Oryzias latipes: one gene and its partners. The protein of the gene in region 3 interacts with the protein of the main gene of each other region in a biochemical or structural test. Links are inferred from orthologs where the notes say so. Each region holds a gene or a part of one and is shown on either strand. Other genes may lie near its edges. The genes, in order: numb, epsin-1, eps15, F-BAR domain only protein 1 and ap1g1.

Region 1 (4,669 bases), on a different chromosome or scaffold from region 3:
GAATCAATCGGTGACCTCACTTCCTTCCACTGACTGGTCTCAGCAGCATCGTCCGCCATGGTTGATGTTTATGTTCCCGTTCCCGCCTACTTCAATGCAGAATGATGACGTTTGTAGCGTATCGATGACGTACGGGTCGGATTCATGTGGCCTGGCCGGTCAGACAGAGGTCGCATTTCAAAAGATCGGATACGTATCAGATTCAGAACCACATACCCAAGTGGCCTGGGTCACATTTGAATAGATCGGATCTGTGTCGTTCAGACTGTCATGAAAAGATCAGATACAGGTCGCATAGGGGCAAAAAAATCAGAATTGGGTCGTTTCAGCCTGCGGTGTGAACGTAGCCAAAGAGGTTCATGGATGTATTTGTCTGCAGGTGGATGAATCAGAAGGGGGCGGAGCTGGGAGACTTTGGCCCCGCCTACCACAGCTGCTGCTGTGGTAGGCTGCAAACAGCAGATAAAAACCTGCTGTTTGAAAAAAAACAGCAGGTTTTTATCTGCTCCTGATCCATGACGATTTGAATAAAGAAATATTCAGAAATCCAATCTTGTAATCTTAACTTCTTCTATACATGTCCTCCATCACAAGAAAAATTGGACAAAAATGACCCCCCCATGCAAAGGTGATAAGGGGTTTTGGAACCCATGAACCGCAACTTGAAGCATGTGTAGAGAAAAGGTTGTGGAGAAGAGATCAAAGAGCTTCACCTCCACCTCTGGCGCTAACTCAGAGGATGCTGGAGAAACGGGGACAGTCCATCCCTCTGGCCCCACCATCCCTCATCCCATTTGTCTCTGTGCCTACATGAGAACATCATGTCTCCCACTAAACCGCACCCCACAGAGGAGGACTGGGCCTTCTGGGCTTCTCCTCCTGCTGCTGACATATTCACAGGGGGGGCGCTTCAGTGAGAAACTGCCAATGCCCCTCCCCTAATTCTTGGGGATGACCATGGGTTACTTTAACAACCTTGTGGAAAGAGAAGCCCCGCCCCCATTTTTCAGCCTATTAGAAACACTGGAGCTGAATTGATTCCGAATGTGAACCTGCCTCTTCAGAGGACCTCCTCACTGTGACCTTGTGTTTTTAAATAAAGCTTTGACATTTTGAAATGCAGCAGATTTCACTCTGATGAGATTCACTCAGGCCAGCGACTCGGCATTAATGCTTGTAAATGTTTAGTAATGATGTGCCTCCTGTTGTTGTAGGGTCATTTTATCAGACAAAGAAAACAACAACTCATTCAATTTCCTTCATGCTCATTATGAGCAGCAGGATGTGAGCTTAGAAAATGTGGATCATTTTGGTCTCTCAGTTATCATCATCATCTGCAATAAAATGTCTTCTGTTTTACAACACACAGCAGCACTTTCTGTCTGCATCTGTCATTTCTTCTAAAGACCAGTTCAAACCCAAACATACACCTAAAATAGGGCAGCTCCAAGCACCCGAAGAAACAAACCCTTTACAAACGAAGCCTTTTACATTTGGAAATCCAAATAACTACAGTACTTTTGAATTTCTAAGGAGATCCTGTCCTGCAAAAATCAATTTACCGTCCAAAGTATTCCATTAGAGGAAATTCGGATTTGTTACAATTCTATTTGATATTTTTCATCAATTTATTTAATCTAAAGTCAGACAACAAATAAAAAGTTTAAGAAAAAAGAGTTGAGTCATCCGAACCAAACGTCCCAGCTGAACTTTAAGACATCAGCTGGATGAATGAGATCCTTCATGGCATTTTACAAAATCCTATTTATGGAGAAACATATAAAACTGACATTTTCTTACTAATCAAGAAGCAATAAAAAAATAAGTAGGCAAATTTCTGAATTTTGCTAAACAAATAAGGGAACTTTATGGCTGTTCTAGCAGTTTAAAAGTGTGAAAATGAAGTGTATTAAAATTATTATTTCGTGAAAAGCAAGATTTAAACACCAGATGCTAAGTAAATTAATAAATGATCATATAATAAAAGCATGAACTTCGGCACGTGACAGACTGTGCCATAAATAAGCAGCATGATGCGGTCAAATATTAGAACTGTAAACTCTAGACTTTACCTTCTTCCCGGTAACGTTAACAATTCTCCTTAACTTTCCCCTTAAATCCCAAACAAAGCAGCAGTGTTTCCGCATACCCCCCCCCCCCCCCCGATCACTGTTTACCGTGACCCCCCCGTCACATAAACAAAGTTGTGACCTCGCGGGACGACGACAGACTCCCGCTTCCCAATGTCCGTCATGAGGCTCGCGCCGTCAATCACGCGCCTCTTTTCCTGTGGAAAGTAATCTGAGTACCGATGTGGATGCAGTGGGGGGGGGGGGGGTACTCCCGGCAGCCGGACGGTCTCACGGAGATACCATTACCTCATCTCGGGCCCCATTATCACACCTGGAAAAAAAAGCTGCGCGTTCGGACGATGAGTCACGGCTCGTTCTCGGAGAGCGCGAGCTCGGAGCTCGCGGAGGCTTCGACGTGAGCCGTGACACAGCCAACATCCGAACTTCTTCGCACTTCCACACCCGCGTGCGCACTTGTGACAGTGATATTACACGAGTGGGCCGTGTGTAACAACGTGTCGTGACAGTTCGCGTGCGCTCTGACCTCACCCGTTTACCTCTGAAAGTTAAACCAGGTACCTGGAAGTTAACCAGGTGATCAGAGGACGAGGAAAAACGTCGAAAGGGCTCCGTTTTCTTCGGTTCTTCCCGGTAACAGATTAGACCGGAGACGGTTTGAACACTCCTGCTCGCTCACCGCGTCATTAGAGAGATTACAGACCGAGCTAAGAGCCACAGAACCGGGCTAACACCACTGCATCAGCCGGGCTAGTGCTACTTTAGCCCCTTTTGCTAACCCTTCTTTCCCGCTCACCTGTGATCACCTCCGTGATCCAGACGTGGCCCCGTTAAAGCCCCGACTGTGACCGTCGAGCCGTCCCGTTCCGGATAATTCAAATTCCACAATAACCGTCACCGAGACCCTCCGGGCCAACCGCCGCCGCTGAATGGCTGCAGCGCGAGGATTCAACCAAACCTCGCCCTTGGCAACGGACCGCCTCCGCGCGCGCTCATAGGCCGGCGCGTGCGGGTCCACGGTGATCGATGGCCACTGGGCCAAATTCTGAGGGGTTGCCGACAAATAAGAAATTTAGCACAAAGACAAAAAAAAGATAAGGATGATTTTAGAGTAAATAAATTATTTTTAAAACATTTTAACTTTTAATTTAAAAAAGGAAGGAACAATTTTAATCTGTGCAATAAATTAATACTTTTTAGTAAGCTGTTTAGCAAAATCAAAATAAAAAATGTAAAAAGTACAAAAGAACGTTAAAACATTTAAATTCATTTATTTTATCTAATTAAATTAAAGAAAACATAAAAAGCTAAAGACGATTTAATGTTTTTCTCATTTTAATTAGCAAATTTTTTGTTTCTTTTGTATTTATTTTCTTCTATAAATTAATTACTTTTCTCGTTTGTCTCTGATTGATTATCATGTCTATTTTTTGTGAAAACAATGCAAAATATAACCATTAAAAATAAACATTTATGGGTTTTCAGGTTTAACAAAACACTATAAAGGCACCACTCTTGATTCTGCCAGTTTGATCAATGAACGGGAAAATGCACAATGTGTCATCCTGTTTCACCCTCTCTGACCAAATAAAGGTAATCATTTGCTTTGCATAAACTATGAAAGCACAGCTATTTGACACATGTTCCACTCTGCCGTTATTTCAGCGTCTGACTGATTCGATGATTTATTTCTTTGAGCAGAACTTCCCACAGTTCCTGCACAGCTCGTGTCTGAACCATCATCATGTTGATCATTTGACCATCTTCAGCCGCCCCACGCAGGCCTACGCCCCTCTACCCCCATAGCGACACACTGGCCTCTTTAGCTGGCCAGAAGTTTATCAGCATTCCTGACATAGCTCCAATGGGTACAAAGCTGCAGAGCAGCATATTTTCTCCTATCAGAAGGCAAACACACAGAGCTTCAGCCGGCAAAGCCGGTTATGATGATGGTTTCTCTTCTGTCTTGTGTCTCTGACTGCTGACCTCTAACACTGTCTCTACGCCTTTGAAAGCCAACCCTCTTAATCATCTCTTCTATCTTTTTATGCACATAACAGGCCTGGCAGGTCCTGGGGCTGCATTCCTGGTGAAATGTTGAAGTATTTTGCCCCCCTGTGGTCAACATGAGCAACATCAGCAACAAGCTCCTGAGCATTCGCAGGGAGAGGAGCTTCATTTTTCAAATATAAGTTTTGCTCAAATAAATACTGTCTGGCTTAAAATATGACCCCCCACAGGAAGTATTTGTGGCTGTTGTTGGATTAAAACCCATATTTTTGTTCAGTAATAAAGCTTTAATGTCCACATTTTCACTGAGAAAAGGGATCCTTTCCCTGAATGGAAGTAAAAATGCTGTTCACCTTTCAGCAGATCCCTTCAGGGTCGCCACAGAGAATCAGCTTTTACTGATTCATTATCAGTAATAGCAAACAGCAATTATAATGTTGTTGTTTACTGGGAAAAAAGCTGCCAGCAGCTTCGGCCGCGTGACCTCACCATGAGGTCACCTGAGCCGCAGCTCAGGATTCACCTTTAGTGAAGCAGCGTTTGAGTTTAACAGTTTCATATTTCGCTTC
Region 2 (4,900 bases), on a different chromosome or scaffold from region 3:
TTGGAACATGCCAACAAGCTGTATCAATGGCCCCTCAACCTAGTGGGATTAAAGGAAGCAATATCCACATCCTTTTAGAAACATATATAACTTATGTGTTTGGTCAGCAATAAAAATGTCTTTTGCTTGTCGATTTTTATATCCATTTGAATTGTTTCCTTTCATCTTATCTATCCACCTTCACAGTACTTTTTTTTGTTCCTATCTTTACCTCCCAAAATTTTTGAAAAAAAATACTGATAGGATTCCAGTTCTGTGTGTTATTTTACACTAGCAGTGGGTCAAGTCTTTCCTAAGGCTCCCACATGTTCGACACCCCCCTCCTCTTTCCATTCAGTTCAATGGACTTCACTTAGTGCATAGTTTCGGGACTATTATTGCCACTGGTCTGGCGGCTGTGCGTTATGCAACACAAACACTGGCTGCCATCACAACGAGCGGTCACTGCTTGGATTTCTCACACCACTGTTATGCTTATCACCAGTGTGCGCTCCCGCCTTTGTACCTCCACCCTGGGGTCCGTTGGCCTCTGTTGTGACAACCCGTTTCTGCTCTCTGAAACACAGCTTTCATCTCTCCTATGAAGCTGACATCAGGAGCCAACAGCTTTAGCTCACAATACTAAGTGAAAGAAATACTCGCTCACAGGGGAGCAGCGTGTATAGAAACTAGGCTCAGATGAGGGATCTAGTAGAGCTTTCCTGACACTTACTGGGAAGTTGCATAAGGAACATCTTCTGTTACACTGTCAAATTTGCTGAAGCTTTTCACTTCTTTAACAAAAACTTTGTTGTTTTTTTTGTCCTTAAGGCACATGATGCATTCTCCTTAAAACCTATAATATAATTGTAATAAAATAAACACAAAAAAAACAACTAGTACCAAGAACTGCTATAAGAATAATAACAGAAAAAACAAGTTTAATGAGCACAAAGAAGAAACAAACAGGATGGTGACATCATCCACTGGTTTAATCAAGTAACAAGAGCTAGAATTAGTGGCATTTAGTTACTAATAGGATTTAGAATGCAAATTGTCCTCTGCATCAGTTTCCTAGTAGATTTTGAATAAGATGAAAATGTGACATAGAGAGCATGAAATGGGATGATTGAAAGTCACAATTAAACATTGTCTTTTCTGTACAACAAATAAAAATAGTGCCATCTTGTTGGTGAGTTAAAAAAAAAAGAAAAAAATAGTCTCCTAGTAAATTATGACAAAATTGCAATTTTTCTAAATAAAGGGATTAAAAAAAAATCCTGAACTAAACTTTCAACACTGTTTTCTTGTTTGGTTTTTATGGCTCCACTAACGGGCCACAGGCTTTTTGTGGCTTCGTTTAAATCAAGACATACGGTAGTCCAATGGTGCCTCTTTGTGGACAAAATCATTCATTGCATTTTTAAAAATAAACAAAATACTCACATAGTAAAAATAATCAATATATTTAAGGTGTACTCTGTTACAATTTAAAAGATATTTAAATCAATTCATTTTTTCAATTATGTAAAAATAAAAAGAAAGAAAGAAAAAAAGAAATTAACATGCACACAGACAAATAAATAATAAAGGAAGTGAAAGTTTCAACTGATGTTTCTGTTACCATTTGTCCTTGTTAGTTCTTGATTTTTATACTCTGCTTTCAGTTTCTCTGTTTGATGGATAACCAAGGTTATTATGCTTCTAAAATTTTGCAAAAATAGGCACTGCTATTTGTTAGCTATTTTTGTCTCTAATTGACTCCTCTATATTCACTCTTCTTAGTTGACCTAAATGAAGGCAGGGCTCTCGTACACGTGCACAAAACAAACAATAGAAGAAGAACATTTATTTAATCAATGGAGGACTTCGTGTTTACTTTTCTTTCCTTTGACTAAACAGCTTCAAATGCGGCATGATTTTTAATACAAGGTTTGTGCAACAAAATAAAATTTAAAAAATGCATTTTTATGTTTGTTTCTGGGCTGTTTTGAATTGTGACTGGTGTGAAAAGTATATGAATTAATCATGAGTTATACCAGCATGGCATGATGAAAACACAGCTACAGGGGGTGCGGTCTTTCCTGTAAGGAAGCACGGAAGCGGAAATTCGGCCATCTCCTCGTACATTCAAGCTGCAACAGGGTTAGTACACACTTCATTTAGGTATTTATTTATTGTTTTGTTTGCATCTCCAACAGTTTTGCCCATATGACTTTTTGATGAGTGTCTTCAACACTCCCCCGCAGCAGAACACGCGTTTTAAATGCCGCACAACAAAGCAGTCAGATGGCATTCACGAACTAGCATCAGAAGCTAGCTAGCTAACAGTTACATTCAAGGAGCAGCAAGTGATTTCTTGGTATGGGAAACTGTCAGGTAACGTTACCTTCGTGTTCACTCTGCTGAGGGTCAGCGATATGACGTGAAGATTTCTATTTGGTTTGCATTAGTTAGCCCGCTTCTTTGCTCCCGTCTTGTGGACCCAAGTTAATAGTTTACCTAGACTTTACTTAGACAAACTGTTTCGATTAGCCATATGCTAGCTAGCTAATGTTAGCCATAAAATGACAGCTACTTTTAGTTACGTGTTTTTTTTTTTGTTTTTAACTTTTGTCTCACATAAAGACTTGGCGACACCATAGTATTCTGTATAATTGCTGAATGGTGTTGTACCTATTTGGCTTCTTTAAAGGCGTTCATACGTTAAGAGTTGCATAACGTGTATTAATATTAGGTTGCTAGCCAACCTTTAGCTTGTTAACTTAATAGGTGTGACAGGCAAAATCCAATTTTGTCTGACTGGGTAACGGTTGTTGGCTTATCTACAGTTTAGTTATCTGGATGGAAACCTTTTCTTTACGGGCCTGCGCACCGTCAACTGCATGATAACACAAGAGAGGAGGAATAATTGAAAGTAAGTTGAGTTCAGTGTCAGCTCTGCTACTTGATGTTAGTTTGAATTAAATTAAAAGTTTCAATCAAGCTAATACCAGAGCTCTCACTTTTTTAATGTTAAGTTTTAAATTGTGGCCTGGATGTATTATCTTATATTAGTTCTAGCTTTACTAGCCAAGTTAGTTTTAATATTGCCAAAAATATTACGATTTTTTTTTCCCGAGATGTAACTGAGCTGAATGTTTTTTTGTTTGTTTGTTTTTATTAGTAGAACAAGTTGAACCTTCCAGCTGCTTAACTTCAGTGTCAACATATTCCAGAACCTCAACCTTACACACAAGGTGTGTTTGTACTTTGCTCAGCCATGCTGCGAGTGACAAAGGTTAAAAAATAGTTAACCACTAAATGAAATTCGCGTTTTTCAAAATTTAGATTTTGAGATTGAAGTCAAAGCTGTAAAAATAATCATAAATCAAAGTTGTCAGTAAATGTTCATAGATGAGCTTAAAATCATGAGCAAATTTAGTTTTATCAATGTTACTAGCAAGTTGAGGGAGTGGTCCTGCTATCAGCTGCTGTCATTAGAAGTTAACAAAGTGGCGGCAATCTTTATGCAGGTCAGTGTTATGTCACATAGGTGTAGTTCATGTTAGGCTTGCCAACATTTTCCTGAATAAATAACTGCACTATTCTGTTAAGTGCATGGGAAGCGTGATAGACAATATGTTCTTAAAGGTTTGGGGGGAGAATGAAGACGTGTTTTTTTTCTTTCTTATTTTAGCAAAAATAATGCAAAATTAGCTTTTTCGTCTCTCAAAATTAAAAGATTTAGGGTTAAGCTGTTGTTTTTTGTGACTTAAAATAAAACACCCTTTTACTACAAATGTTAAGTGTGTGGAGATACTGTAACATTTAGCTGCAATATTTAGTTTAGCATGCTGATGGTTTATTCATTCAAAAAAGTGGATCATGATGTTTCATAATCCACTGTTTTTAGTCAAACTGTTGGTGGACTCTGAAATTGTAATCCCTTTAGTATCACTCCATAATCAGTCATTTCCATTTAAATTTGTTTTTTTTATAAATATATTTGTTGCGTGTTCTTTACAGTTGGTATAGATGAATGAGCCTGATCTTCTCGTACCATTACTTGTATACAAATGAAAAACAATGTAGTATTGGAGTTAATTCAAGACCCTTTACATGACCACCTATTAATGAAATTATCAATTTGCTGCTTTTTGCATCACACCTCTTCATTTTTAAGAAAACTCAAATTGCATCTCTAGAAAATTTGGGGTTTGTTGCATCCATTTTGTTGTTGTTGTGGTTTTGTACCAAAAGTTGAGGTTTTAGTTGTTAGGGAAAGTACAAAAGGGAAAGGATACATCTGGTCAGCAACTATGGTTTAACCTGCTGTGCAAGCAATTGAGAACAAACGATACACAAGAGGGAATGGCCTGGGGTGAAACGGTGGGCCTCATAATATTTCACATAATCATGCATAGCATGAAGTAAAACAGATTAGGTCATGTCTGTGATTATTTTAAAAACGAAAGCACTAATAAAAACAACAGCTTACTGACCCCAGACTCCTCAGCCTTACTTTTTGGTCCTTTTGACTCATTGTAGGTTTTAACGACATTGTACCTAAACTTATGCTTTTATTAGAAAAGCTGTGTTTATAATTACAGTTTATTGTTATTATAACCATTGTTTTCTTTTGGTTTCTAGCTGTTAGTGGTGAAATAAGGGAAGTTGTTTACAGAACTTTAAGTAACAGATCTTTTTCACAACCTAATTCAATGACCTCTTGAAGTTTTAAAGGACTTGCTAGTAAGCTGCATGTGTTTCGATTCTTTTAAAAAATATGGACGCTTCCCTCTAAAGCTCATAAAGCAGCAGCAGAACACTGAGACATGCAACTCTTTGCTTTTACTCTGACACACAGCTTTTCTTTTTTTTAAATTAAACCAATTTAAGACTTGATTTGAAAAAGTGTTTACAAACTCATTTTATTTAT
Region 3 (4,148 bases):
GCCCACATATTTGAGCTGAACATTCTGTCGCCGGAGCGTCACTTTATCGATTCTCCTCCTCACATCAGCTTCTGACCCGCTGCCACCGTTCTGCCCAGAGCAGAAATCATTTTCTGACGTCACCCTCATAACTGCGTTTTCAGGGAGCTCTGTGACATCGGAGACATCGGGAAACTGACCCGGGAACAGTTTGCCTTGGCACTTTATCTCATCAATCTGAAGCTGACCAAAGGCTTGGAGCCTCCGCAGAGTCTTTCCCAAGAAATGATCCCTCCCTCAGACAGACAAAACATCAAGCAGGTCAGCCAGTCAGGCCCTTTTCTTTCTCTTTCTTCTACTTTTCTTGATGCACGGCTTCTTAATCGGTTTTATTTAACATAACACGTTTTCTTGAATGGGTCCAGTCAGCTGGACTGAACAAAGGGGGCAAAAGTAAATTTGTTTGTGCTCATTTTCGTCTTTTTCTGGTGACAGTTTTTCATCATTAGACGTACAAATGTTTTTTTTGTCTTAGTTTGTCGTTCATCTCCGATGTCAGTTTTACTTCCTCCCACTTTTTTTCCGTTTTTGCAGTTACGTCTCATTGTTTCTTTTGAATATTTTCCATCGTTTTGTTGTAACCAGCAGTTCTCACTGCTTCTTTTCCAGAGCAATGCTGCCAACCTGGCGGCTGACTTCTCTGCCATTAAGGAGCTCGACTCTCTCAGTAACGAGATTGTAGAACTACAAAGGTAATTTTAATTTGTGCATCTATTACAAGCAAATATGAAGCCATGAGTCAAGTTGGAGAAAAGATAAAAACAAACGTCTGGCTGTAGTAAAGCAGGGGGTGGAGTTAAAGAAACAAAATATTTGTATTAGATCACGTTTATCAGTATGAACCGTAGATATACTGCAAATGTTGCAGACGGAGGTGTTAAAAACAGGACATGACTGAAGCTTTTTTAGGTTCGATCATAAAAAAAGACATTTACATTTACATGCTGTATCCCAAACTGACCAGCAGGGGTCAGTGTTTCCAGTAATCCATTTTTTTGGATTTCTGAGTTCAGTTCTGTCTGAAACCGGTATAATTAACTGTAAACATGTTAAACATTAGTTTGAGATTTATTCTGAAGATTCTCAACCACCAACAGTTACAACTTTAGTTTAAGAAAATGTCTTTACCAACACTTTTTTTTAAAGAATCTTTCATGATTAGAAAGTTCTTTGCCTATAATTGGTTGGATGCTAAAAATCCTTCAACCGTTGTTTTCCTGTTTCTCTTTCTTTATTCTAGTATCTTCCACCATTTTTTGCTGCTTATCTCCTTCTACAATTTTCATCTGTTTCAACCATTCAACTATCCAAATGTTCAGCTCTTTCAGCTTTTTCCAGCTGTGACTTTTGGTCCTTCAAATCCTTGAACTTTTCCAGATATTCCAGGATTTCTGCCTCCATTGAAATCCATGGGGAATCCTTGGTGCAGAAGCTCGCTGGTTCGATACCCGGCTCTGGCATTTTCCATAAACACATCTTTTGATATTGTGCTGTTTTGACTTTATTTATGCTCAACTTTGATCATTTCTTTCTTTATTTATATATATTTTTCCAATTATTCCCCTTTAAGTTTCATTTTCATTCAGCAATATAGCATCAACCCTGCCTTTTCCTCTGGAAATGTCTGTTGGGCTCACTGTCAGTTTCTGTTGCTAGTTTCTTCCTCACACTAAGCCAGGGGTCGGCATCCAGCGGCTCCGGAGCCGCATGCGTCTCTTTCCTCCCTGAGCTGCGGCTCTCTGTGGTTCAGGAAAATAACCGTCGTGTTCTCAGATGGTCGTGGAGCCGTTAACACAGTCAGGTAGAGCGAGAGAGCAGCGGAGGGGGCGTGTCTGCAGCTGTGAACGCCGACCACAGTCTGTTATGGGATGGAAAGACGGTCAGTGGCGATCTCGTAGGGGACACATGAGCGCCCCCAAACAATCATTTCATCCCCCTAAACTAAAACCACCCATTTCCACATGAAATGAATTAAATTTGCTATCAGGGGCCCCCCACTACCCTGTCACCGTGCTGCTACGATGGCCGTATGTTGATCTGTCTGTGTAGAACACGCTGCGGGGGCGGGGCTTATGTTTCCAGACCTACCACAAACTAACAGCTGCTTCCTAATAAAAAAATAGTTGTCATCCATAAAATTAATATAATTTATTGGGTTTACTGGATTTAAAGAAAAATAAATAGAAATGGAAACGTCTGCATCAAAGGGAATTTGTTTTGACAGACAGAAAAGTCTGTGGAAAATGGACAAAAGATCAAAGGAAATATCACGCTCATAAAGAATAAAAACTAATTAAAATAAATAATTAAATAAATATCCTGATGAACTATAGTGATATATCAGCAAAAACATGTTTTAGTGCTGCAGCTCCCTGTTCTTTCATCTCAGTGGGAAACTGATCCAAATCAGAGGTTCAGGTTTCTGACTCCTGCATTAAGCTAAAAATACGTTTTTGTTCATGAAAGCTGAAAGTGAGAAGTGAAAAAGTGGTTTCCAGCCCAGCTGCTCTTCCAAACAGATCACAGTTTATGGGTTAATAGATGCGTGGAAGACTCAGAAGATTCACCATAGATCAAACTTGACACAATGATGTCCGTTTGCTGCTGTTTCAGGTTTTGGCAGCGACTTTCTCAGCCAAAGGATTCTGGAGAATGTGATGCGACGTAGGAGCAGCAGAGGCGTGAGCTTTACTGTTCTGACAGTCAAAAATATAAATGTGAAAAACATTAGAAAGATCAAAGGAAGCCTTTGGGAAATGCTGAGGAGGCTCCATTTATTCAGAAAGGCAACCAATTTATGAGCAAAAAACACTTCAGCTGCATTAATATTTGTTAATATATTAATATATTGTTTTTAATAACTATTTTAAAAAGTTTCTAAAATGAGAATAATTCCAAACCATTTTGAAAGAATTGCCTTGACAGTTGTAGTTTGTGAACTTGAGTTTTAAAAAGGAGAAAACTAACCGAAAATTCAAACTTCTTTCAGGTTTCAGTTTCAAGGATTTTGTTTTTCTAACTTTAAAATGAAATTTGCAAGTCGTCCATGTTATCTGCAGACATTAGGAAACTTCTGAATTTCAGTTTATAAAGTTAATCAATAAAATGCAATGATTATGCTTTTTCATTTCATTTCTGGCTGCAAAAAGCGGCATTTCAAGTCAAATCTTGGGTGAAAATTTGGCTTCCTTTAAATGATCCTTCACCGTCTTCACTCCAGCTGTGGAGTTTAAGCTTTTTCTAAAACCTAAATGTGACGGCTCCAAAAACAAAGCTCCTATTCCTCTGGATTTCCTTTCAGTGCTTATTTAGAGTTCTGTTTTAAATTTCTACCTTCAGAATTGTGGATCTGTTCTCGGCTTGACGTGGCTTTAAATCATTAAATGCTGTGAAAAATGAAGAAACAGGAAAGTTTCTATTATATATATTTATAAAAAAATCCAGAATCTACCTGCTTATTTCCTTATTTCTCATTTCCTTTGAGCTAAATCTATATTTTTAATCACTTAGTTTTTTCTCTGCCTTATGTGAACTTGCCGGTTTGTGTTTGTAAAAAGGTTTGCTGTTTTTTAAAATGACTTTTCTATGTTTGTCTGGCGTGACGCTGGTCTCCATGTGGGCGATCCTCTAAAGTCTGACAGGAGCTGTAGCTCCTGAAGAAGGTCCCGAACTGCTCGTGAGCTGCAGGCCGGCTCTTCCGGACTCCAGCTTCACCCCCTTCATCACTGCTCCTCCCTCCTCCTCCTCGCTACGCGTCACGCGTTCGCTCACCTTCGCACCCCGGGAAACTGACGCCATGACCATTTCTGTTGGACTGCTTCCCGCCTGCCTCAGCTGCAGGTCTCTCTGGACCACGATGGTTCAGGGAGAGGAGGTGGTCTCCTCTCAGGGGCGGGGGGAAGGAGCCTTGCTGGGACTGGTCGGCGTACCGGGCGGGAAGCGTCTCTCTTTGCTCGCTAAGTACTCCTGTCTTTTGTGCTGGAACCCCAGGGAGAAGAGCTCTGTGGAGGAGGAGATCAAGGAGAATGAGGAGGCCATTCGGCAGCGCAGCGACGAAGTGCAGGTATGTTCTCCTCCTTCCTCCTTCAGGGATCCAGAACAGACAGGTG
Region 4 (4,148 bases), about 16 Mb from region 3:
ACCTCGAAAATCGAGAGAAACGAACTCTTGTTGGCTTTAAACAAGCCAAATGTGTCCAGTCTGAATACACCCTTGGTTTCAGAGAAATGGGTGCAGGTTCATGAATGGAAACCGATTTTTCTTACATTCAGAAGCTCCAAAAGTGTTCTGCTCTCTGAGCTGTTCCTGACTATCAAAGCTTTTGGATTTGAAGGCCATCTCCAGCGGAGGTCCAAACAGGCCGTCAGAACCCGACGCCGTTGAACTTAATCTGACAGAGAGGGGCGGGGTAAATGAGACACAGTCAGGGAAAGCAAATAGGAGCTGAAGCATAGAGAAGCAGGGAGAAATGGGGGCATAAATGACAGAGGAATATATATGAAGAAGATGCTTTGTTGCTGGACCATTTTGGGAAGCCCCTGCATGATCAGCAGATGTTCTTTCTCCATGTGTAAAAATATAGCTTTGTGGAGAGAAACAGCCACACTTAGTGTTCATTTTCACAGATGATTTCAATATAGTTTTAGATATTTTAACCAGATTTTATGCAATATAAATGAAAAAAAATTGTATGCTCTCACAAAAATGTATGTTGGATGTCAATTATGGCACACACAACTAATATGCAATTCTTTATAACCTTGCAGAAGTGTTTAATAACTTTAATTTATTGTCCATTTTTTAGATTTTAAAACGTACTGATATTTTATTGTGAAAAGCTGCTTCAGCTCTGGCCAATGTGAGCAAAACATTCATCAAACCACCACTGGCCTTTTCTCCGGTCTTATTTTTCGTCTGTCAAACGGAAACAGTTATTTAAAAAATATATATATATTGAAAATGTAGGAAATAAAAATAAATAAAAAAAGAGAAGGAGACAACAGCTGAAAGACACAAAAGGAAAACCTAAAAAACTTCAAATCCCTATATAATAATAACAAAGATCTCTGATGGCACAGCTCCACCTCTGAATTTGTCTCTGCTCAGACACACAGGGAGAAGGATGTGACTGACAGCTTCACAGATTCATCTCACCTGCTGTGATTGGGACTGGAAGTGGACCTGCACAGGCCGCTCTGCTCTCCGTCTGTAGAGAAAACAACACACTCATGACGAGAAGCAGTCCGTCACTGCAGAGGACGCGCAATAGCTGGGAATAATCAGCAGCATGGCGTTCTTTATCACAGCAAAGAAGGGATGACACAAAGAAAACCCATCATGCAATGTTCTCATCATGTTCTCTGTGACAAATAGCAGCAATTAGCCTGGTCCCACTAAGCTCCACCTCCTGTCGTCTTAATCAGAAGCTGCTCATTAATTCTCCTGCTTCCAGATTTAGGGGCAGCAGGCTTAGAGCTGCTGAGCAGCAGCAGCAGCAGCAGGTTGAATCCTCCCACTCCAGCCTGACCTCCTGACAGCTAATAAACCCTTTGGTGATAAAACAGGACTATGAGGGTACGACTGACAGAGATGAGCAGTTAACTAAAGGTCAAAACACAAAAAAGATCTGCTGTCCAGAGAAAAGCATGGAAAACGGGCTACAAAATGACAGATGTTCAGAACATTTGAGCTACTTCTTATACAGCACAATCATTATTTAAATACACTCTTGTAATGTAATTGTCTTTGTAATCTGTATTTTAGTGGAAGAAATGCACCAATAATCTAGCCCTGCAAGATTTGTGCCATTAAACCATTAAAAGGCAAATTTAATAGAAAGTTGTAATTATGGCATGCTAAGAAATGAATTAGAAGAACACACAATGTCCAAAAATGTGTTAGAATGCAGTCTGGCTTTGGGTAACTAACTATAGCAGGAATACATTAGTGTAATGGCGAGTTCTCATTAAAAACAAAGAAAAATCTAATCTATTTTCTTTTGAAATGCCATTGTGGGTTTAAAAGTTTTTTAAAAGATTTATTAAGTCCAGACGTCTGAATCTGTGAATATCTTGTAAACTTTCCTGAACTGTTTTTGTGCGATATTATGTGCCATATAATAATAAGTCTGCATTAAATAAAAAAAAATATACATATTGCGCTGATGACAGTAATAAGAAAATAAATACCGTATTTTCCGGACTATAAGTCGCCCTTTTTTTCATAGTTTGGCAAGGGGTGCGACTTATACTCCGATGCGACTTATAGTCCGGAAAATACGGTATCCAATCCCTGATCGGGATGCAACATCTGTTACTGATCGAGTCTGAAACTATGTGATCTGGCCCAATATCAAATCACGTGATCAGATCGGAAATCCCAACTTGATACTACAGATTTAGTGAAACAAGTTGTCTTTTTTTTCTCTTGAACTATTAAATTTTCTTCACCAAATTGGCTGTAGTCTTTTTTGTGTCATTTGACGTTCGTTATAAGGTGAGATAAACGCTTTCCTGTTACCCAAAAACCTGAATTTGTGTTTGTTAGGGCTGCACGATATGAGGAAAACTCGCGATATGCGATATTGGTGATTAATATTGCGATAACGATATAATTTGCGGTATATAAACAAATATCAAACCAACCAAAAACATAATTTCCATTTCAATGCAACAGTATAAAAATTATACTCCAAATGACCCTTGTCGACATAGGAGGCAAACATCAAACATAAAAGGGCTCATCTGATTGATCAACAGCGTAAACGGGTCCTTCCGATTGGTTAAAAGCATAAAGGGATTTATTTCATTTGTTCAATATTTCAAGCTGCCGTGAGTTTGTTTTAGCACATTTAACCCTTGTGCTATCTTAGATGACCCCCCCTTACTTTGACATGTTCTCCCTACCATGACAAAGGTGGATAAAGGTGGAAAGATTTCATGTAATCCATGGACACCAGTGAAGATCACAAATCATTGAAGAAAAAAGGTTCAGAGCACTGTCTAGTGGGTCTAGATGACCCAACTCCCAATGTTAAAGTGCCTAGGACAGCACAAGGGTCAAGGTAACCATTTATTGCGATTTTCGCCGTCTTTTGCGGTATGCATATTGCACAGCTTGATGTTGCGATAACGATAAATTTGCGGTATATTGTGCAGGCCTAGTGTTTGTCAAGTTTTTAATCTAAAGTTAAAGAAGCAAAAAGTAAAAATAAACAGCTGGTTTAGCTTTTCAACACCCAGTTTGAGCTGCATTTTATATGTTTTGCTTAGAGTATCTGACATTCACATGTGTCCTATTTTGACAAGCAGGGATGTCAGTGGATCTTATTTCAGGTTATATATCAAACTGCTGACTCACCCCTGTGAGAGGCAGCCTCTGTTTCTTCTGACCGGCCCCCTGCGCTGCTCGAGTTTCCTGTGTTAAATACAAAGAAGGAAGTGAATGAAAAAACTAGTATTACTGTAGGTGAAGAAACATGCTCCACCAAATAGCTCCAGGTGTTTTCAAATCAATGGATGAAAGTGTACTCACTGGAGAGAATTCGTTTGGTTGAAACCTGAATCAAAACAGTGATACAAAGTTGAATTAATTTACATTTTTAGGATTACTAACAATATTAGCTAATCTTTTTACAAAAAAAGCATTAAAATGTAAATTTTCTACTAGAAAAGACAAAACAGCATTTGATAAATAATTTATACAAGTTCAACTCCTTCATAACCGTTGCTGAAGACTCTCGGCTATCATGGAGTCATGGCAACTGGACTTAAAATATTCTTATATATTTAATATCTTAAGTCCAGTTGTCATGACTAAACTTCAAGATTCCTTGATAAATATTTTTTAATTACCGTATTTTCTGGACTATAAGCTGCTCTTTTTATCCTAGGTTTTGAACCATGCAGCTTATACAAAGGTGCATCTATTCTGTGTGGTTTTTTTTCCACCACTAGGAGCACTCTAACCAGAATTAGAATCAACAATAATAATAGATAAATCAATGCAAAGAAGAATAGACTACGCTACTTTTTCTTTAGCAGATAGAACACGGATGGTAAATTACCAACCAATGGAGACAAATAACCTGACTTCATGTGTTTCAGCGAAGATGATTACAGTGACTTGTGGTTTGGAGAAATGAAGGTAGATATATACTGGTTATTTATTATTATTATATTATTGTTATTTAATATTTTTATATACTTGGTTCTGATCCGTTTTAATAAGCAAAGTTGCTGCTGTGTTAAAAGGCACTGTTTGGACGTACATGTACATTAACAGTACAA
Region 5 (4,681 bases), on a different chromosome or scaffold from region 3:
GTGGGCTGTTAAACAAAAGGCATCTCTGAAGACTTTGCTCTCTTGTCAATTTCAGACTTCTGTTGAGGTCATACTTTTGTTTATGTGAATCTAAAACCTTTTTTTATTTGAAGGCCTCTCTTGCAGTTCTAATCACAGACTCAGCAGAAATGATCCTATCAGCCTGGCTGTCATGTTGCTGGAGCTAATAAATAATCATGACACTGCAGATTATTTTCACCTAAAAAAATTACTGACCCCATTCCTAAGAGAGCACACGACAGATTCTGCTGGGTGTTTTTATTTGTGTCCTGTCAAAAAGTGGCTCAACTTTTCATGAAACTGTGCTTTCAGATCTGTCCAAGAAGTGACTGATTTATTATTTTAAACTGCAGGATGAGCACTTCTAGAGATGAGAAATATGGTCAATCACATGACATGACATGTTTTAGGGACAGAATCAGGATGAAAAATATATTTTGGATTTTATTTTGTTTTCAATGAATTCGGGGAGATTGCAATCCAAGATAGACGCATGACCAACCCCCATGTCCCTGGGTGAAAAGAACAACCCTTTCAGATTGAATGCAAAACAGAGGAGTTGGCTAATGTGGGTGTGTCACAGGAGGGGACATTGGAGTTGTGTCCTAATGGCTAAAGTAACAAGATAATGTGGATTAATGGTGGCCATAATGCTTTGCAACTTTGTTAAGAGGAAATCTGCATTAAACAAAACTACATTTGGTCCCAGACATTTTATTTTGCTAGTCTTATATTAGCCAAGCAAATGCACAATATGTTCAGCAGATCTTTAGCCACTTCTTCCAGTCTACAAAATACTGCATTAGTGACAGGAGCAGTAAAACAATCGGGAAGCAGCCCCAAACAAAAGCTCAAATAAAACAGGACTTATCTGGGATCTTAATGATTCAATACTTGCCAAGTAGCATTTATTAAATTGGGATAACTTTGCATTTAAAAAGGTCAAATCCATTCATTTATATACAGATTTGATCCATCTAACAAAACAGTTCAGCATTAAAGGAGTTTCCCTTATTAACTCACTACTTAGTAATCTGTTGCTCATTAGAAAATTACCTCTGAGTTGTGGGTGGGACTATTGCCATGCTGTAATCTTTCCCTTACTTCCCATCATCTATTTACGTGCTCTCCCACTGGTTCCCTAGTACAGTACCTCACAGCACCAACGTAACATTAACGGTGAAACAAAAATGGCGAGCAATATCGGAGATATCCAGCTGTTTAGTTTTGCGCCAGATGCCAATCTATTTGGATCCATTAGTCTACAAGTAGATGCATCAGAATAAAGCTGAACAGGGGACTTATGTCACAGCTTCTTCCAAGTGCATTTTTTCTTCTGCTCTTGATTCACAACAATTTGAATAAAGAAATGCACAGAAATTCTATTTTTAGCTTAATTTTCTATGTATGCATATATGTACTCCATCATGAGAACAATGCCACGGGAACATGTTAAAAACACCAACAATTTTAACAGGAGAGGGCCTTTAACTCCATCTATTCAAAGCTGCTTAACATGCATAAACTTCCTTTGAACTTGAAAATACAAAATGGATTTTTTATACTTTGTGTTGGTGGTTACTAAGGCCTCAGACCTAAAGTAAAAAGGCAAGACACTCAATATTTTTCACTGACCATTTAATACGAAAGAGTTGAGAAAAACAAACCCCAAATGTTAATTAACAATTATTGTAAACCAATAATTAATTTATAGTATGATTGTAAGCCTATCCTCACCTACGCCAAGAGGCCCCTGAACTCCTGAAAGGTGTGTTGGTCCTGGTCAACAGAAACATTAACACTAAAGACAACCCAGCAGACACGTCGATACGCAGAACGTCACACTCGTAGCGCACTTCCTACTTATACCTCGACTTCCTTAACGTTAACCAGTCCTGAGCAACAAGTGCTATAATGGAAATTAATTAGATGTTTCATTACAGAAATCTACTAAGGAAGACGCTTCAATGACACCAACTGTTTTGTAAACATTATAAAAACAAATTCACGTCTTTAGTGAGCTATAGCTTCCTGGATGTCAAAAGCTAACTTGACTCGACATTTTAAAGTTTTTAAATATTTAAAAACCACATCTAAAGCTCCAGCAAACTGTCAAGTATCTTAACGACGAGGCACAACAACTGAGTAAAAAGTAGCTTTACAAAAAGTGCCCATTTTACTCGAAAGGGATCATGTTTGGACATCCTTAGCAACAACAGAGGCTTTACCGCTTACTCACGCTTTTTGATAAAATGCAAGAAGTTAATATTAACAACATGAACATACAAAATAATTAGAAAAGTGGTTTTGTTTAACCTCGAGCTACGACACCTGACTGAGTTCACCAAGTGAAGAGGACATGATGCGTTTAGGCCTTCGTGGAACATTTGGATTACAAACTAGCTAGCTAGCCCCCTGTACTACCGTCAGCTCGCTACCTGACAGTTCGCTGTTAACTAGTGTATAAGTTACAGGACAAGAGCTGTGGTCCAGTAGTGGAAATATTAACTACACAGTCATCGTTAGGTGCTGTCACAATAAATATTTCACAAAACACTTGGGAATTCTGCATAGCTAAGCCCGTAGATACCTAGCACTGCTCTACATGGTAGCTAACTTAGCTTACTGACAGGCACTGCCCCGGCGCACTGAGCGCTGCAACTTCCTATGCAGTGGCACTCTCTCTGAGATAACAACGCAGACACGAACACACGCGTAATGTTTTTTGTTTAAGAAAATTACATTTTATCACATTTCTGTCGATATGTTATTGTTTCAAAGTACTTACTAGCCGTAATGACGCCAGAAAAGGACTGGACTCGTCTCTATTAGCGATGGAGGGAGGAACACACTAGACATGCAAAATGGTGGCTACTCCAGCCTCAGTACATCTACCGCAGGCGGAGGGTTACACTCTCAGAGGATGGTAAAAGGCGTTCAGCTCAAGTTTGTCATCATCGCAGGAACGGCTGGAAGCAGAGAAGTCACCACTGTGACCGAGATTACACCTGATACAGCTCTGTTTACAGGACACCATGGGTAATAGTTCCGTTATGTCACTATTGGTCTTTTGTAATATTAAATCAATTATTCTATTTGATCAGTTTTCTACAATGCACGCTCGGTCTGTTCCCGTTATTATAAAGCGCTAGCAATAGAGCCTGTTGTTTTCTTTAACCATCTGGTTCTCGATTATCTTTTTGAAAAGGTTTCGAAACGTATTTATTTGAGATTGGATTCCTGGTTACACTGAGATGCGTTGTCTGACATTTTACATGAAACATGTGTTAAATGACAAGGCGAGGTTTCTTTTGTTGAGATAGAATATTATCCTTTAACCTTGCGGATGAGTACACTGTCCGTCTCGAAGGCGTGCTGCGGTCAGTTTACTCGTGGCATACAGTGATGACGACTGCATGCAATGTGAGAGTTCAGTGGTACCGTAAATTAAAGCGCCACCTAGCGGTGTCTCTTGTCCTCTTAAGAGGATCCTCTTGAGGTTTGATCTAAAACAATAATTTATTTTTTGATGAGATACCAATTTAGACTTGTTTTGTTTTTGTTCAATTGACCAAAACCATGCAAAGGTTTAATTATACTTAGTATATTTAGTTTATAAATAAAGATTAGGTTTGAAATTCAATGTAACAATTATTTAAAGAGAGAATTTGGATTAAATTGATATGCATTAAAATATCATTTAAAATGGAATTTGGCTCTCATAAATGCTTCATTTTATATTTTTGATGCTACATTTAAGTGTTGGTAAAAGTGATTTAAAGCAAAAACATTTTAATTACGGTATACATCTTTTTATTCAAGATGGTTGTACATGTATGCATGACTAACATGTCCTTGTTGTTAAGGTTATTTTTTGGGTCTCCCACAGGTGTCGGGAGTTGAACTTCAATAAGACGAATTACATATTTTGCAAAGCAACATATGAGGGATTAAAACTTAAACATCAATAAATAACACTTTGGACTAATTTGCCTTTATCCTGGATGGAAAAAATGATAGTATTTGTTTTATTAAAAGCAAATAACTAAACAAACAAAGTATGAGTTCAATAAATTTTCACGTTTTTTCTAACATACATATAGTACGCTAATTTAAAAAGAAATCAATAATTATTGAATTAAAAACTAGGGCTTTCTTTTTTGCCACACAAAATAAGATAAGAACCATAAAGTGTGTATGTAGTTATACGAAATGAAACATATATACGTATTTTTCATACAGAATAACAAAATTTATTAGCATCTGTTTCTATACAATTAAAATATTTGCTCCCCTGTAGAGAAGTTTATTGAAATATTTTTGTTTCTTGTTTTCTCCGCCAGAGAGCGCTGTTTACCCTGTTAAATGGATTGTCGTATCTTCTTATTCTCTACAAAGGCATAGGAAGTTTAAACGAAATGCAGTTATGCGTTTTTTTATGGGACACTTCATTAATTTTTTTTCTCCAGTTTGTTTTTTTCTGCTTGTTTCATATTTTTTACGTTGTGATCGGAAAATGAACCCTTTAATGAGCTTTAAATCAGTTTGTCATAGTCATTTGATGATGGGTTATGTTTTTTTTAAAGCATATTAGCTTCTGTAAACTTCTAAATGCTTGTGCTTAACTTACTTTTTAAAGTTAGTTGTCCATAATTAGTTT

What was found.
Region 1: the proteins of eps15 (region 3) and numb form a complex in vitro, tested with the Homo sapiens proteins (2 studies listed by BioGRID and IntAct, with this or other methods). The link is inferred for Oryzias latipes from reciprocal best matches to the Homo sapiens genes EPS15 and NUMB.
Region 2: the proteins of eps15 (region 3) and epsin-1 form a complex in vitro, tested with the Homo sapiens proteins (4 studies listed by BioGRID and IntAct, with this or other methods). The link is inferred for Oryzias latipes from reciprocal best matches to the Homo sapiens genes EPS15 and EPN1.
Region 4: the proteins of eps15 (region 3) and F-BAR domain only protein 1 form a complex in vitro, tested with the Homo sapiens proteins (2 studies listed by BioGRID). The link is inferred for Oryzias latipes from reciprocal best matches to the Homo sapiens genes EPS15 and FCHO1.
Region 5: the proteins of eps15 (region 3) and ap1g1 form a complex in vitro, tested with the Homo sapiens proteins (2 studies listed by BioGRID). The link is inferred for Oryzias latipes from reciprocal best matches to the Homo sapiens genes EPS15 and AP1G1.

The regions. Positions count from the first base shown.
Region 1 is NC_019880.2:1,035,253-1,039,921, reverse strand, and holds the start of numb (protein numb homolog), read right to left. Parts: upstream 3,070-4,669; 5' UTR 2,887-3,069; intron 2,502-2,886; exon of another isoform or gene 2,379-2,501; intron 1-2,378. UniProt on the Homo sapiens protein: Regulates clathrin-mediated receptor endocytosis. Plays a role in the process of neurogenesis.
Region 2 is NC_019874.2:19,874,660-19,879,559, reverse strand, and holds the start of epsin-1, read left to right. Parts: upstream 1-1,971; 5' UTR 1,972-2,124; intron 2,125-2,131; exon of another isoform or gene 2,132-2,358; intron 2,359-2,810; 5' UTR 2,811-2,896; intron 2,897-3,145; exon of another isoform or gene 3,146-3,218; intron 3,219-4,900. UniProt on the Homo sapiens protein: Binds to membranes enriched in phosphatidylinositol 4,5-bisphosphate (PtdIns(4,5)P2). Modifies membrane curvature and facilitates the formation of clathrin-coated invaginations. Regulates receptor-mediated endocytosis.
Region 3 is NC_019862.2:31,367,098-31,371,245, reverse strand, and holds part of eps15 (epidermal growth factor receptor substrate 15), read left to right. Parts: intron 1-143; coding exon 144-300; intron 301-648; coding exon 649-731; intron 732-4,029; coding exon 4,030-4,102; intron 4,103-4,148. UniProt on the Homo sapiens protein: Involved in cell growth regulation. May be involved in the regulation of mitogenic signals and control of cell proliferation. Involved in the internalization of ligand-inducible receptors of the receptor tyrosine kinase (RTK) type, in particular EGFR.
Region 4 is NC_019862.2:14,981,888-14,986,035, forward strand, and holds part of F-BAR domain only protein 1, read right to left. Parts: intron 3,419-4,148; coding exon 3,394-3,418; intron 3,277-3,393; coding exon 3,220-3,276; intron 1,067-3,219; coding exon 1,015-1,066; intron 251-1,014; coding exon 126-250; intron 1-125. UniProt on the Homo sapiens protein: Functions in an early step of clathrin-mediated endocytosis. Has both a membrane binding/bending activity and the ability to recruit proteins essential to the formation of functional clathrin-coated pits.
Region 5 is NC_019861.2:21,119,663-21,124,343, forward strand, and holds the start of ap1g1 (AP-1 complex subunit gamma-1), read right to left. Parts: upstream 2,912-4,681; 5' UTR 2,810-2,911; intron 1-2,809. UniProt on the Homo sapiens protein: Subunit of clathrin-associated adaptor protein complex 1 that plays a role in protein sorting in the late-Golgi/trans-Golgi network (TGN) and/or endosomes.